Oryctolagus cuniculus: one gene and its partners. The protein of the gene in region 1 interacts with the protein of each later gene in a pairwise test. Links are inferred from orthologs where the notes say so. Each region holds a gene or a part of one and is shown on either strand. Other genes may lie near its edges.

Region 1 (4,186 bases):
AGGACAAAAGGCCCTCAGGGTGTGTGCAGGGTGCAGCCTGTGTGCCTGGCATGGCGGGGCAGAGAAGCAGGAGGAGGCGTGAGCTGCCCCAGGGCTGCCCCGCTGAACGTGGTCCCTGGCCCGGTTTGTGCCTGAGAAGTGGCACACGCACCTTGTCCAGCAGAGGGGCGGCAGCAGGTGAGCTGGCTTCCGACACCAGCAGCCGGGCTCCCTGGGCTACCAGTGCTTTCCCTTCCCTCCCATGCCTGGCCCCGGAGAGCCCAGCAAAGCAGCAGGAGAGGAAAGGGAGATGGTTCCCGGACAACGCCTGGTGCCCCCACCATTCTGAGACCCTGCTCTCCCAGAGCCCGCTGCCCGGGAGCCTGCGCGCCGCGCCGGGACTTGCAATGGTCCAGGCTTCTACACAGTCAGTGCACTCTCTCCCGACACGGCGATGGGAGGTTGGCGGCTTGCCATGCCCCCATCAGTGCTCACTACTCCAGGGTCAGTGCTGTCTCCCCGGAGCCCGCCCACCCCTCTGGCGCCTGTTTCTCTGTGGCTTGTAACTTGCTAAGGCCCTGCTGTTATACCAAACCCGTGTGTTGGCTGATTTATAATCCACACCACCCAGTTTAGTGTGGATGAAGTTCCTGGGACCGTCCTTTCTCCTTAATGATGTGCCTGCGGGCAGGGACACCATCTTATTTTGTATCACCCCAAGAATTGCAATGCATAGTTAAAAAAATAAGAAGCTGACCCTCCTGACCAATCGGGGACAAGTGACCGCCACAGGCACCTGGGTGGCCTGGTGGGCTGTCTTCAGTTCCCTGGGCAGCTCCAGCGCCCAGCGATGAATGAATGAACGAATGAGTAAATAAATTAATGAATGAGTGAACGAAGGACGTCAACAGGGAGTTTCCCGCTGCCCTGGCCGCTGCGGGAGAGCCTCCGGCGGGTCGTCAAAGGCAGCAGCCCACGCAGCCCGGGCTTCTGTGCCGCGGGATCTTCCCTGCCGGCGGCCGGTGCGCAGTAGTGCGCCCCGCGCCTAGCTCCCCTGCCCCGCAGTGGTACGCGCCACTCCGCGCTCCCGGGGCGGGTCGACGCGAGGCGTCTTGAATGGAAGGCGCCGAGGCCGGAAGCGGAAGGGACCACTCGGCAGGACGAGAGGGGGGACACGAAAGCGCCGCCTCTTCATTGAGGAACCGAAGCAGTGAACATGGAGTTCCATGTGCGTCTTATGTAAAAAGAGCGACGGGCGCCGCCACCAATGAACGCGCGGCACCCGCAGGTCCGGCCCCCCCGGTATGCAGATGAGGCGCAGCCGCGACCAATGGCGCGCCGGGGGGCGGGCGCGGCGCGCGCGGTCACGTTTTCCACTATGTGACAGCGGCGGGTCGGGGCGGCGGCGGCGGCGCCGCGGGCTACGCGCTGGTCTCGGCGGCGGCGGCGGCGGGCGCGGGCCGGGCGAGCGCGCGGACTGGCCGGCGGAGGGTCCGGCGACGGCTGGGCGGTGAGTGGCGCGGCGCCCGGGCGGGCGGCGGGTGCGCGGGCAGCCGGCGGCCGCCGCTCGCCTCTTACGTAACCGCCCCGGGCCGGGCGGGCGGGGTCCGGCGCTGCGCTCTGGTGTGAAGGGCCGGCCCGAGCCCTTCACGGCCGGACGGACGGCGGCCTTGGGACGGTTGTGTGCGGGAGACCTCGGGCCTGCTGCGGGCGCCCCTTCCCGCCGCGCAGAGCCAGCTTTGCGGATCGGGAGAGTGAGGCGCCGGGAAGCCCGACGGCCGGGCTGCGGTCTCGGAGCGACGGGGTGGGTGAGGACCACGCCGGCCTGCTGCCTCGTCCAGCGTCAGGCCCCGCAGCCGTGGGGGGCCCGGGGGGCCAGTCCTGGGCTGGAAAGGCACCCCAGGTGGGCGCTGCTCTGGGAGCTCTACCTCGACCCCCGCCCGGCGCCCTGGAGGGGGCGAGCCGAGGTGCCAGAGGGTCGCCGGGCCGGGCCCGTAGGACCCCCGCCCGGCGCCCTGGAGGGGGCGAGCCGAGGTCCCAGAGGGTCGCCGAGCCGGGCCGGGCCCGGAGGACCCCCGCTCGGCCACCTTGTGTGCATTCCTTTTCCTGGGTGGGTTGGGGGCTCCGGGAGGGGGGGGCGGTCTGGCCGAGCCGCAGACGTGGATCGCGGGGGGCAGGGGCCGTCCCCGCTTCGGGAAGCCCGGGGAGAGGATGACGGCTCTGTTGCCAGGGTTTCGGCGGCTACACAGAAGGAACCGGTTTGGAAGGCTGATTCATCCTCAACCGCGGAGTCACCAGGCACCCTGGAGCCGGTACAGGGGAGCCCCTCGGCTTGACAGAGACAGGCTCAGGCTCAGCTGCGGCCTGCGGGCATCTCTCAGGACAGGGTCCCCGCGGGGCCTGAGTGGGCGGGGCTGGGAGCCCTAGGTGTTACCCAGGGGCAGGGGCCGCTCCCCATGTCTGGCGCACTTCTGTGTGACCCCCTTGCTCAGAGGGGGGACCCCCACCCTGGACCTGCAGCTGAGGTTCCTGGTCCCAGGCTGGGTTTGGCTAGGAGGGGACAGGACACTACCTGACGGCTTCCCCTGGGAGCCGGGAGTCAGCCTGCAGGTCGTGTAAAACCCTGGAGACAGGGCTCCCCGCTGCAGAGGAGCTGTGTGATGTGCCGGCACAGGGCCCACACCGTGGGTGTCGGCAGGCACTTGTCACCGTCGTCTCGGTGTGATCACTGGGGCAGAGCTCGCACAGGCCCGGCTCTCTGTGGAGGCTGGAGTGGGAGGCGGGAAGCCAGCCCGGGCCGGGCTGCACGGCTTGGCCCCGGCCGGGCCTTGGTCCCTCAGCTGTGTGGAGGGGCCCAGGCGGGGCGTGCACAGGTCTGCTCAGTTGCCAAGCTGGGGGTCCCTGAGACGCCGCAGAGGAGAGCAGGCCGTCCCTCGGCGAGGCCTGGCCGCTGCTGGGGCACATTACCTTCCTGGAGGCGTGCTGCGGTCTGAATGGTGACACGGCTTCCCCAGGCCTCAGCAGGGCACAGGGCTCCAGAAGGTCCCGGCGCGGCCACCTGGAGAAGAGTAAGGCCCCCATGTTGAAAAACTGGCTTGAACACGGGACCGTGGCTTGGCAGGTGTCTGGCGCCCGCCCCTATGGAATCTGCCCATCTGCCAACCCAGGGAGGACCGGGGCCGGGGCCTCTGCCGGGCCCTGGCCCTGAGCCCGTGTGCTTTCCCCCGCGCTGCAACTCTGTGTTCATTCTGTGCCTGTTCGGTACAAGTTGTGGGGCGGGCATTTGGCGCCGTGGTTAGTTAGGAGGTCCGTGGGGATGCGGCATCCTGGCTCTGAGTCCCGGAGAGCAAGTCCTGGCTCCACGTCTGCTCCGGCTTCCTGCTAGTGTGCAGCGGGTGGCGGGTCCCTGCCATCCACCTGGGAGCCCTGGCCTCGGTCCGGCCCAGCCCTGGCTGTTGAGGGCACTTGGAGAGGGGAACAGCAGACGGAAGATCTCGGTCTCTGCCTTTCAAGAAAATTGAAAATTTCTACTCTAAAGTTGCGACTGTGTCCCTAAGTCTGGAGCGGAGTAGGAGCAGCCGTGGCGGGAGACAGGTTGTCGGAGGCTGGTGGCTCCCCGGCACCGGGGGCTGTGTCATGCCCCCTCCAAGGGTTCCTGTGCTCCTCCCGAGAGTGACAGAGACCAGGATGCGCTCTGGGAGCCACTCCAGGCAGGAGCCAGGGCCTCGGCTTCCTAGAATCCGCCCACCCCAGAGCGGCGCAGCGGAGCCCCGCAGCGGGGAAGCTGCCGCCACTTGAGCGCACTTGTGAATCTGCGCCTCCTCTCCCTCGCCTCCCGCGCCTCCCTCGCCTCCTGCGCCTCCCTCGTCGCGCCGGCCTCCTGCTCACATTTTCCTGTGACCCGGCGGCCGTCGCCATGGAGAGCGTGGCTGTTTATTCAGCAGGGCAAACATTCTGTAGATTACCCAGGCCTCAGGGAGCTGGCTCCCACCAGGAAGTAGCAAGCCTGTTACAATACGTGGGGTTGTAAAATACCGCCGCACTCGCAGGCACCAAGACAGGCTTCTGAGCCCTGTTACATAAAGCTGTGAAAGAGGCAGAACTAGCCGGGCTGGTGGGGCCCTGGGGTGGGCAGGTTGGGGGCGGGCAGCGCCCTCCTGCAGATCTGGGTGTCGCTCACGCGGGCGTGCTCGGCTCACTGGCACAC
Region 2 (3,518 bases), on another chromosome or scaffold:
GAAACAAGCCAGGAGCGCACAGAGCATGATCCCAAGCCACAGGCTTGCCGGGGAGACAACCTCCGGTGACACCGAGGATGTGGGCCGAGAACGGCTGGGCCGCCCCAAGCTCGCTCCCCTCCCGATCCCAAACACCAGACGCTTTATTGAAGAAGTCAGGGCAGCACAGCTGCTGCCTCCAAGAGGCCCCAGTCCAATCGCAGCCTCATTCCTGCTTCACGGGTTGGGCAGAACCAGCCCCGCAGGTGCAGCTGGATGACACCTCCTGGGCCTGCTCACAGCCGCAGCCGCCCGCTGGGAAGGAAGCCCCCAGGCCTGTGTGTGCCCTGCAGGAGCTGCCCAGCGTCCCGGCCCTAGTGGGACGCAGCAGAAAGCACAGACACAGCCCATGATTCGGCAGGGTCACGATGTCCAACGAAACTACTCATTTCCTTCAGAGCTGGGGCACAGGGCTGAGGCGGGCTCCAGGCCCCTGCGCGCCCCACACCCCCACGCAGCCCTGAGCCCAGGGTGGGCTGCACAGCGGAACAGACGCCTCCGACGCTCATCCTCAGCCCAAGCCCAGCCCTCTGGGCGACCACGCCGGGTGCAGTGTTCTGCCGGCTGCACCACAGAACCACGCAGAGCAAGAGTGAGAAGGGAGATGTCGGGAGGAAAACGGTCAGGAGAGCAGGGCCCCCGCTGGCCCCGGCTGCCCAGGACTCGCGTGCTGCCCTGCCCTCACCGCTCGCAGCCGCTTTCTCTGGCACTCTTCTCGTCAGAGGCCGTGAAGAGCACCGGGGCCGTGCCTGCGGGGTCACTGCAGGCCCAGGGACAGGGTGGGGCTCGGGCTCCTCGGCAGCACCTGCCCCCGGTGCCGTCCCTCCCGGACGAGGAGCGGGCAGGGGTGCACGGGGAAGCTGCTCACACGCAGGCGCAGTAGCAGCCGCCACAGGTGCAGCCATGGCTGGAAACCAAGCCCTTGTTAGAGACGGCACACGTTATCTGAGCGCTCAACAAGACGCCACTCACTCACCAGGAACACGGGTCCCCTGCTGAGGACCCCCACACACGGGAAAGGGCAGAAGGGAGGGAGGGAGGGAACGCGATATCCCACCCCACTCTCACCCTGGAGCGCGCGAGACCAGCCCTGGCGGGGCTCAGGTGGAGCGTGGACCGGCACTCACCTGTGAGGTGGACATGCGAGAGGTATCTTGCCGGCCCGTGAGGTCGGACGAGGAGATGTTGACTGGCGCCCCGCGGTGCAGCCGCATACTCACTTTCCGCTCTCGTTCCATGCCAGAGACAGGCCGTGGAGAGGTGTTGGCTGGGGGGGCGGGCAGAGACCCAGGGTGAGCTGGCCTACCCACGGCCTGTGCTGGGGCCTGGCTCCCGCACGGGGGTTCACTGGAGGAAGCTCCATGGACAGAGGGGCCGCTGGCAGGGGAGAGCCCCCAATGGCTAGAGCTCAGCATGGAGGGCACACCGGGGCCTCATGACGCCACAGCACCTGGGGCCCGGGGAACTCGGCCCTACAAGGTGCATGGGAGAGAAATCTGGGCATTGGGAGAGACATCCCACTTGTTCTTTGGAGTAAGAACCGACCAAAGCAAGAGGTCCGACAGCACCAGCCACGCGTGGGAGGCCAGAGCGCCAGCCCAGACCCAAGAGACACTGGACAGAAGGGAGCCCTGTGCTCGCCGACGGGCACTCACCCGTGTGTGAGGTAGGGGTGAGGGGCGTTGGGGGAGCCACTTCTTGGGTTCCCCGCAGGCGGCCAGAGGCTGTGGAAGGCAGGCCACGGGTGGCTGGGTTCCGGGAGTGTCTCAGCCGCTCTTCTCGGTCCCGGCGTTCCCGCTCAGCGTCGTCGGCAGCCCGGCTGGCACCCTCAAGAACAGGAAGAGGAAGAGGTGAGCCCAGCGCTGACCCAGGCTGCTGGAAACAAGGCCGCCTGCTGGACAAGAGCTGCGCCCATGGTGGTCAGACACTTTAGCCCCCCGACCCACAACCACCGGAAAAAACCAATTCGCACTGCTGTGTGCTTTCCTGGGCGGCGGCTCAGGGCTGCCTCAGCGTCACCACCTCCCAGGCTCCCCCGCACACCCAAACGCTTGTATGTGGAGGAAGTCAGAGTAGGAAACCACCTAAGGCGTGGCATGGGCTCAGTGTGGCAGCACCTGGGGAGGGGTGGGGCAGAGGCAACAGCACTGGGTCACTGAGGGACCCACCCAGCGCCCAGACTCCTGACCGGGGGAGGCCACGCTGTAGTGGGGCCAGTACAGCAGCCAGGCTTGCGCCCCACAACCCCAACTCGTGCTTTTGTTTCTTTTTCTTTTTTTTTTTTTTTTAAGATTCATTTACTTTGAAAGTTACAGAGAGGGAGAGGCACAGAGAGAGGTATCTCCTATCTGCTGGTTGACATCCCAAATGGCTGCCAATGCCCAAAGCCGGGCCAATCCGAAGCCAGAAGTCTGGGTCTCCTATGTAGGTACAGAGCCCCAGACATCTGCACCTCCTTCCGACGCTTTCCCAGGTGCTTTAGCAGGGAGCTCGACTGGTAGAGCAGCCGGGTTTCGAACTGCGGCTCACAGGGGATGCGGCACTGCAGGCAAAGGCTACGCCACGGTGCCAGCCCCTGTACACTTCTGATTAAGGACTGGGTGTGGGGACGCGATGGGTTAGGCTGTCGCTTGCAACACCATCATGACGGGTTCGAGGCTTCACTGCTCCACATCGGATCCGGCTCTTTGGTGATACGCCGAGATCAGCGGAAACCGGCAGGACCTGGGCTCCGGGAGACCCAGACACGAGCTCCAGGCCCTGGTTTCAGCTGGCCCAACCCTGGCCACTGCAGCCATTTGTTGGGTGAACCAGCAGGTGGCAGATCTTTCTTTCTCCCTCTGTACACTCTGCCTCCCAAACAAACAGTCTTTTTTTTTCTAATTTATTTATTTATTTGAAAGGAAGAAGGACAGAAAAGAAACCTTTCCAATAATTCATTTGCCGAATGGTCCCAAAAGCCAGGGCTGGGCCAGGAACCCAGAACTCAATCCAGCTGGGTCTCCCGAGCACCGGAGCTGCTGCGGCTCAGGGTTTGCACTGGCAGGAAGCTGTCTGGCAGTGGGCGCTGACGGGGGACGCACTCCCAATCAGACCTTCGCTGCTACTTCAAACACCCTCCGTGCACCCCAGGCTAAGACGCCTGTCATGAGCCAGGCCTTGCCCCCACTGCTAACACCATCAGGTGAGGCTCTACACCCACGGCTGCCAGACACAGCCAGGTGCTACCCCTGCGGAGAAGAAAGCCTCACTGGGCTGGACATGCCCGCCCGCCCACACGCTGTCAGGGCAGACAACACCAGCAAAGCCACGGTGACGGCCGTTTGTGCCCGGCTGCAATGAGGGACAGACAATGCCGGAACAAGGCGGGTGGCCACCTGATGCCCGGACCCTGGACTATGGGACAGCAGCACGGGGCTGGCCTCTGAGCCACAGCACACGGTCGTTCGCGCCCTGGGACTCCAGCCCCAGGGCAGGAT
Region 3 (3,518 bases), on another chromosome or scaffold:
GCAACAGGCTGTGATTGGATAGCTTTGGAAACCACATGGCAAAAGAGCCTGCCTGGCAACAGGCTGTGATTGGATGGCTTCGGATACTGCCTGGCAACAGGCTGTGATTGGTTAGGGCATAAACCACCCCTTGATCGGATTGGCTACCTTGGCTATTTAAGCCGCTGTACCAACTGAAATAAACGAGTCTGCGGGCTGCTCTCCTCTGGCCTGCTTTCACCCGACTCCTGGGGTCTGTGTGGTGACTCCGCGCCTCTTGCCACCACCATGCGCCTCCTCTCAGAATGAATCCAGCGCAGCAACAAACAAATATATATTAAATTATATTTATTTACACTTTCCTCATTTCATTTATATTTAACACATGTGCTAAATGCCTGTGAATGCCAGGGATTATATCAGGTACTAGGGATACAAATATAACTAAGATATGGGATCTGCCTTCAAGGGATTCATAGCTGAATCTGAGGAGACAACTACACCAAATCACTTAGTATAAAAGTGATATTAGGTGTTTGGATGGATTTTAGTACAGAATACAATAGGGACTCTGAGAAAAGATTGGTCAGTTTTATTGGGAGATTCATAAAGATGGCCCTTCAGACAAGCAATAAACTAGTCACCTTTAGTTTTATTTTCTCAAGGTAACCCATTCTTTTTATTTATTTTCCCCCCAAAGAAACCTTTTGTTTAAGGAATATGGACTTCATGCATTTCTTAAGTACAACTTTAGGAATATAGTGATTCTTCCCAGCATACCCACCCTCCCACCCACTGTTCTACCCCTCCTCCTCCTCCCTCTCTCATTCCCAGTCCCATTCTCCACTAAGATCCATTTTCAATTAACTTTATCAACAGAAGACCAACTCTATAGTAAGTAAAGAGTTCAACAATTTGCACAGTAAAATAAAAACAAAAACAAAAAACCTGCATGGGAAGTTAGTGCATAGTGACTCTTGTTGTTAATTTAACAATTAACACTCTTGTTATTATGTCAGTGATCACCCAAGGCTCTTCACATGAGCTGCCTAGGCCACAGAAGCCTTTTGAATCTACAAACTCCATCAGTATTTAGACAAGATCATAAGTGAAGTGGAAGTTCTATCCTCTCTTCAGAGAAAAGTAAGGTCATCAATTCTATTCCTTCTTCTAGTACTAAGGTAAATGTGAGTAACTTCAAGAACAAAATGTTGAATGAAAGCAGCAGACACAAAAAAGAATACAAACTAGATGATTCCATTCCTATAAAGTTAACAACATAGACAAAAATTATTGTACTATGAATCAAGAGGGTAAATACCTATGAGAAGAAGGGGAAATTAATAAGCTTAATAAATATATTCGGAATTTCTTTAAGATATTTCTTTCTTTATAGGGCTATATGATAGGAAGGCCTTAAGGTCTTCTGACTTCGTGAATTCATGAATACCACTATAGTCTATAACTTTCCCATAAAATGTAGATTTTATTTTCATGTCAATAATGGTATAAGAGATAGTGAGCAAAGAACAGAGACCTATTGATCAGTTAGCTTGTTTAGTCACAAAAATCACAAGTCCTCATAGTCATGTCTTCAGAGTAACTAGAAAAGTTAAATTACAAACTACCAAGAACATATAAGAAGGGAAACTTACAGTGAAAACTTCAAAAACAAATTTTGTGGGGCATTGCTGTGGCATAACAACTTAGGCTACCACTTGCAGTGTTGGCATCCTATATGGGCACCCGTTCAAGTCCTGGCTGCTCCACTTCCAATCCCACTCCCTGTTAGTGCACATGGGAAAGCAGCACAAAATGGCCGAAGTGCTTGGGCCCCTGCACCTACTTGGGAGACCCGAAAGAAGTTCCTGACATAATGATTCAAATTTCCAATACATACCAATTTAACATTATTAATGTCACATATATTAAGAATTTACGCGATGGGGCCAGTGTTGAGGTACAGCAGGTTAAATGGCCAACTGCGATGTTGCCATCCTATACTGAAGCACAGGTTTGAATCCCTACTACTATGCTTCCAATCCAGCTCCCTGCTAATGTACCTGGGAAGCAGTGGATGGTGGCCCAAGTACATGAGCTCCTGGGACCTACATTGGAGCCCTGGATGGAGTCCTAGGCTCCTGGCTTTGGTCTGGCCCACAGGCCATTTGGGGAGAGAATCAATGGATGGAAAATCTGTATCTCTGTCCCTTCCTACCTCCCTCCCTGTCTGTCACTCTGTGTTTAAAATAATAACTTTTTTTTAAAGGATTTAGTTGGTACTAAATATATATCATACAGAAAACTATCACAGACCAGACTTTGTAAGAAAAAAAACCCCATATATAAAAGGACTAGATGCTCTGTGCATGAATGATACATCTCTTGACGATTTTTACAGGGTCACTGACCTTCACTAATTACCTTATAGCTGGTACACACCCAAAGAGAATAAAAAATAATGAACATTCTGAAAATAAGAGTTGCGAATTTCATTTTACCCTTAAAATCATTGTCCACATCCAGTTTGCAAGATCTTTAACTTGATCTAAGTATTTACTACATGTAATGTTTTCCATTTCTAAAATGTCACCAACAGAGTGAGGTGATATGTGTGTGTGCATGGGTATAGACCTATTATATTAACTTTAAAGACAGATTGTTATAGGTAATCTATTTATGTGATGAAGTACAATAATTTCTTTTTCACTTACTTCCACTGCTGCTACAACCTGGAATATTTTCTCCAGGAGAATATCCCATGAGGCCTCCATTCCCATTAGGATTAGAAGGTACTGATGCAAGAAGACCTGAACAGGAAAAAAAAAAAATCCTATCAAATTATGATCAAGATCAAAATCAAGAGTAAATACAGAAACAGCTGCCCAAACAACAAATCAAAGGCAACTATCAACATACCTAGACCTCGGTATCGTGAAAGCTGCTGATAGATCTGTTTCATCCTTTCAATATTCAAACGGCTTGCCTCAGCATGGTTCACCATTGGTTTAGGATAATTAATTCCTATCAAACATTTGGCTACCTTTTGAATACCTTCTGGTGCATTCCAGGGATCATAGATATATTTTGCAGGGAAGCCTCTCAGAACAGGCAAATAACGCCTTTTGGGAAAAGGAAGAAAAATTAATAAAATGTACTATGAGCAAACTGTAAGAAACTACCAGCTATCAGTGACCAAAATCAAATCAATACCATTTAAATGATTTGTTTACCCTTCTCCTTATTTCTGCTGCCCATCTTGAGAGGGGAATACTTAAAGTGTTGCTTAAACATGAAAATCTCTTCTGGATTAGCTATTCCAAACTGAGTAATAACCCTTGATTTACCTGATATAGTCTCCATTGGGATCTGTTCTCCTACCAAAACCAACAGGGCAATAGCAGTGAAAAAACTGTTGGAAAAAGGAACTACAAGATAGCCACATCCAACTTCCAGCATTTATGCTCCAATCTGCATCAAGCAATAATTCTTCAAATACCTTCAGAAGTAACAGTAACCAATTAGTTTGCACACACATA

Evidence for each region. The genes of interacting proteins can lie anywhere in the genome.
Region 2: the proteins of PER2 (region 1) and CSNK1D interact in binary tests that used the Homo sapiens proteins (3 or more experiments, as listed by UniProt). The link is inferred for Oryctolagus cuniculus from reciprocal best matches to the Homo sapiens genes PER2 and CSNK1D.
Region 3: the proteins of PER2 (region 1) and CRY1 interact in a two-hybrid assay, tested with the Homo sapiens proteins (5 studies listed by BioGRID, with this or other methods). The link is inferred for Oryctolagus cuniculus from reciprocal best matches to the Homo sapiens genes PER2 and CRY1.

What each region holds. Positions count from the first base shown.
Region 1 is NC_091434.1:2,124,067-2,128,252, forward strand, and holds the start of PER2 (period circadian protein homolog 2), read left to right. Parts: upstream 1-1,370; 5' UTR 1,371-1,489; intron 1,490-4,186. UniProt on the Homo sapiens protein: Transcriptional repressor which forms a core component of the circadian clock.
Region 2 is NC_091448.1:767,818-771,335, reverse strand, and holds part of CSNK1D (casein kinase I), read right to left. Parts: intron 1,867-3,518; coding exon 1,695-1,866; intron 1,307-1,694; coding exon 1,167-1,306; intron 1-1,166. UniProt on the Homo sapiens protein: Essential serine/threonine-protein kinase that regulates diverse cellular growth and survival processes including Wnt signaling, DNA repair and circadian rhythms. It can phosphorylate a large number of proteins.
Region 3 is NC_091442.1:109,554,787-109,558,304, forward strand, and holds part of CRY1 (cryptochrome-1), read right to left. Parts: intron 3,479-3,518; coding exon 3,327-3,478; intron 3,102-3,326; coding exon 2,899-3,101; intron 2,790-2,898; coding exon 2,694-2,789; intron 1-2,693.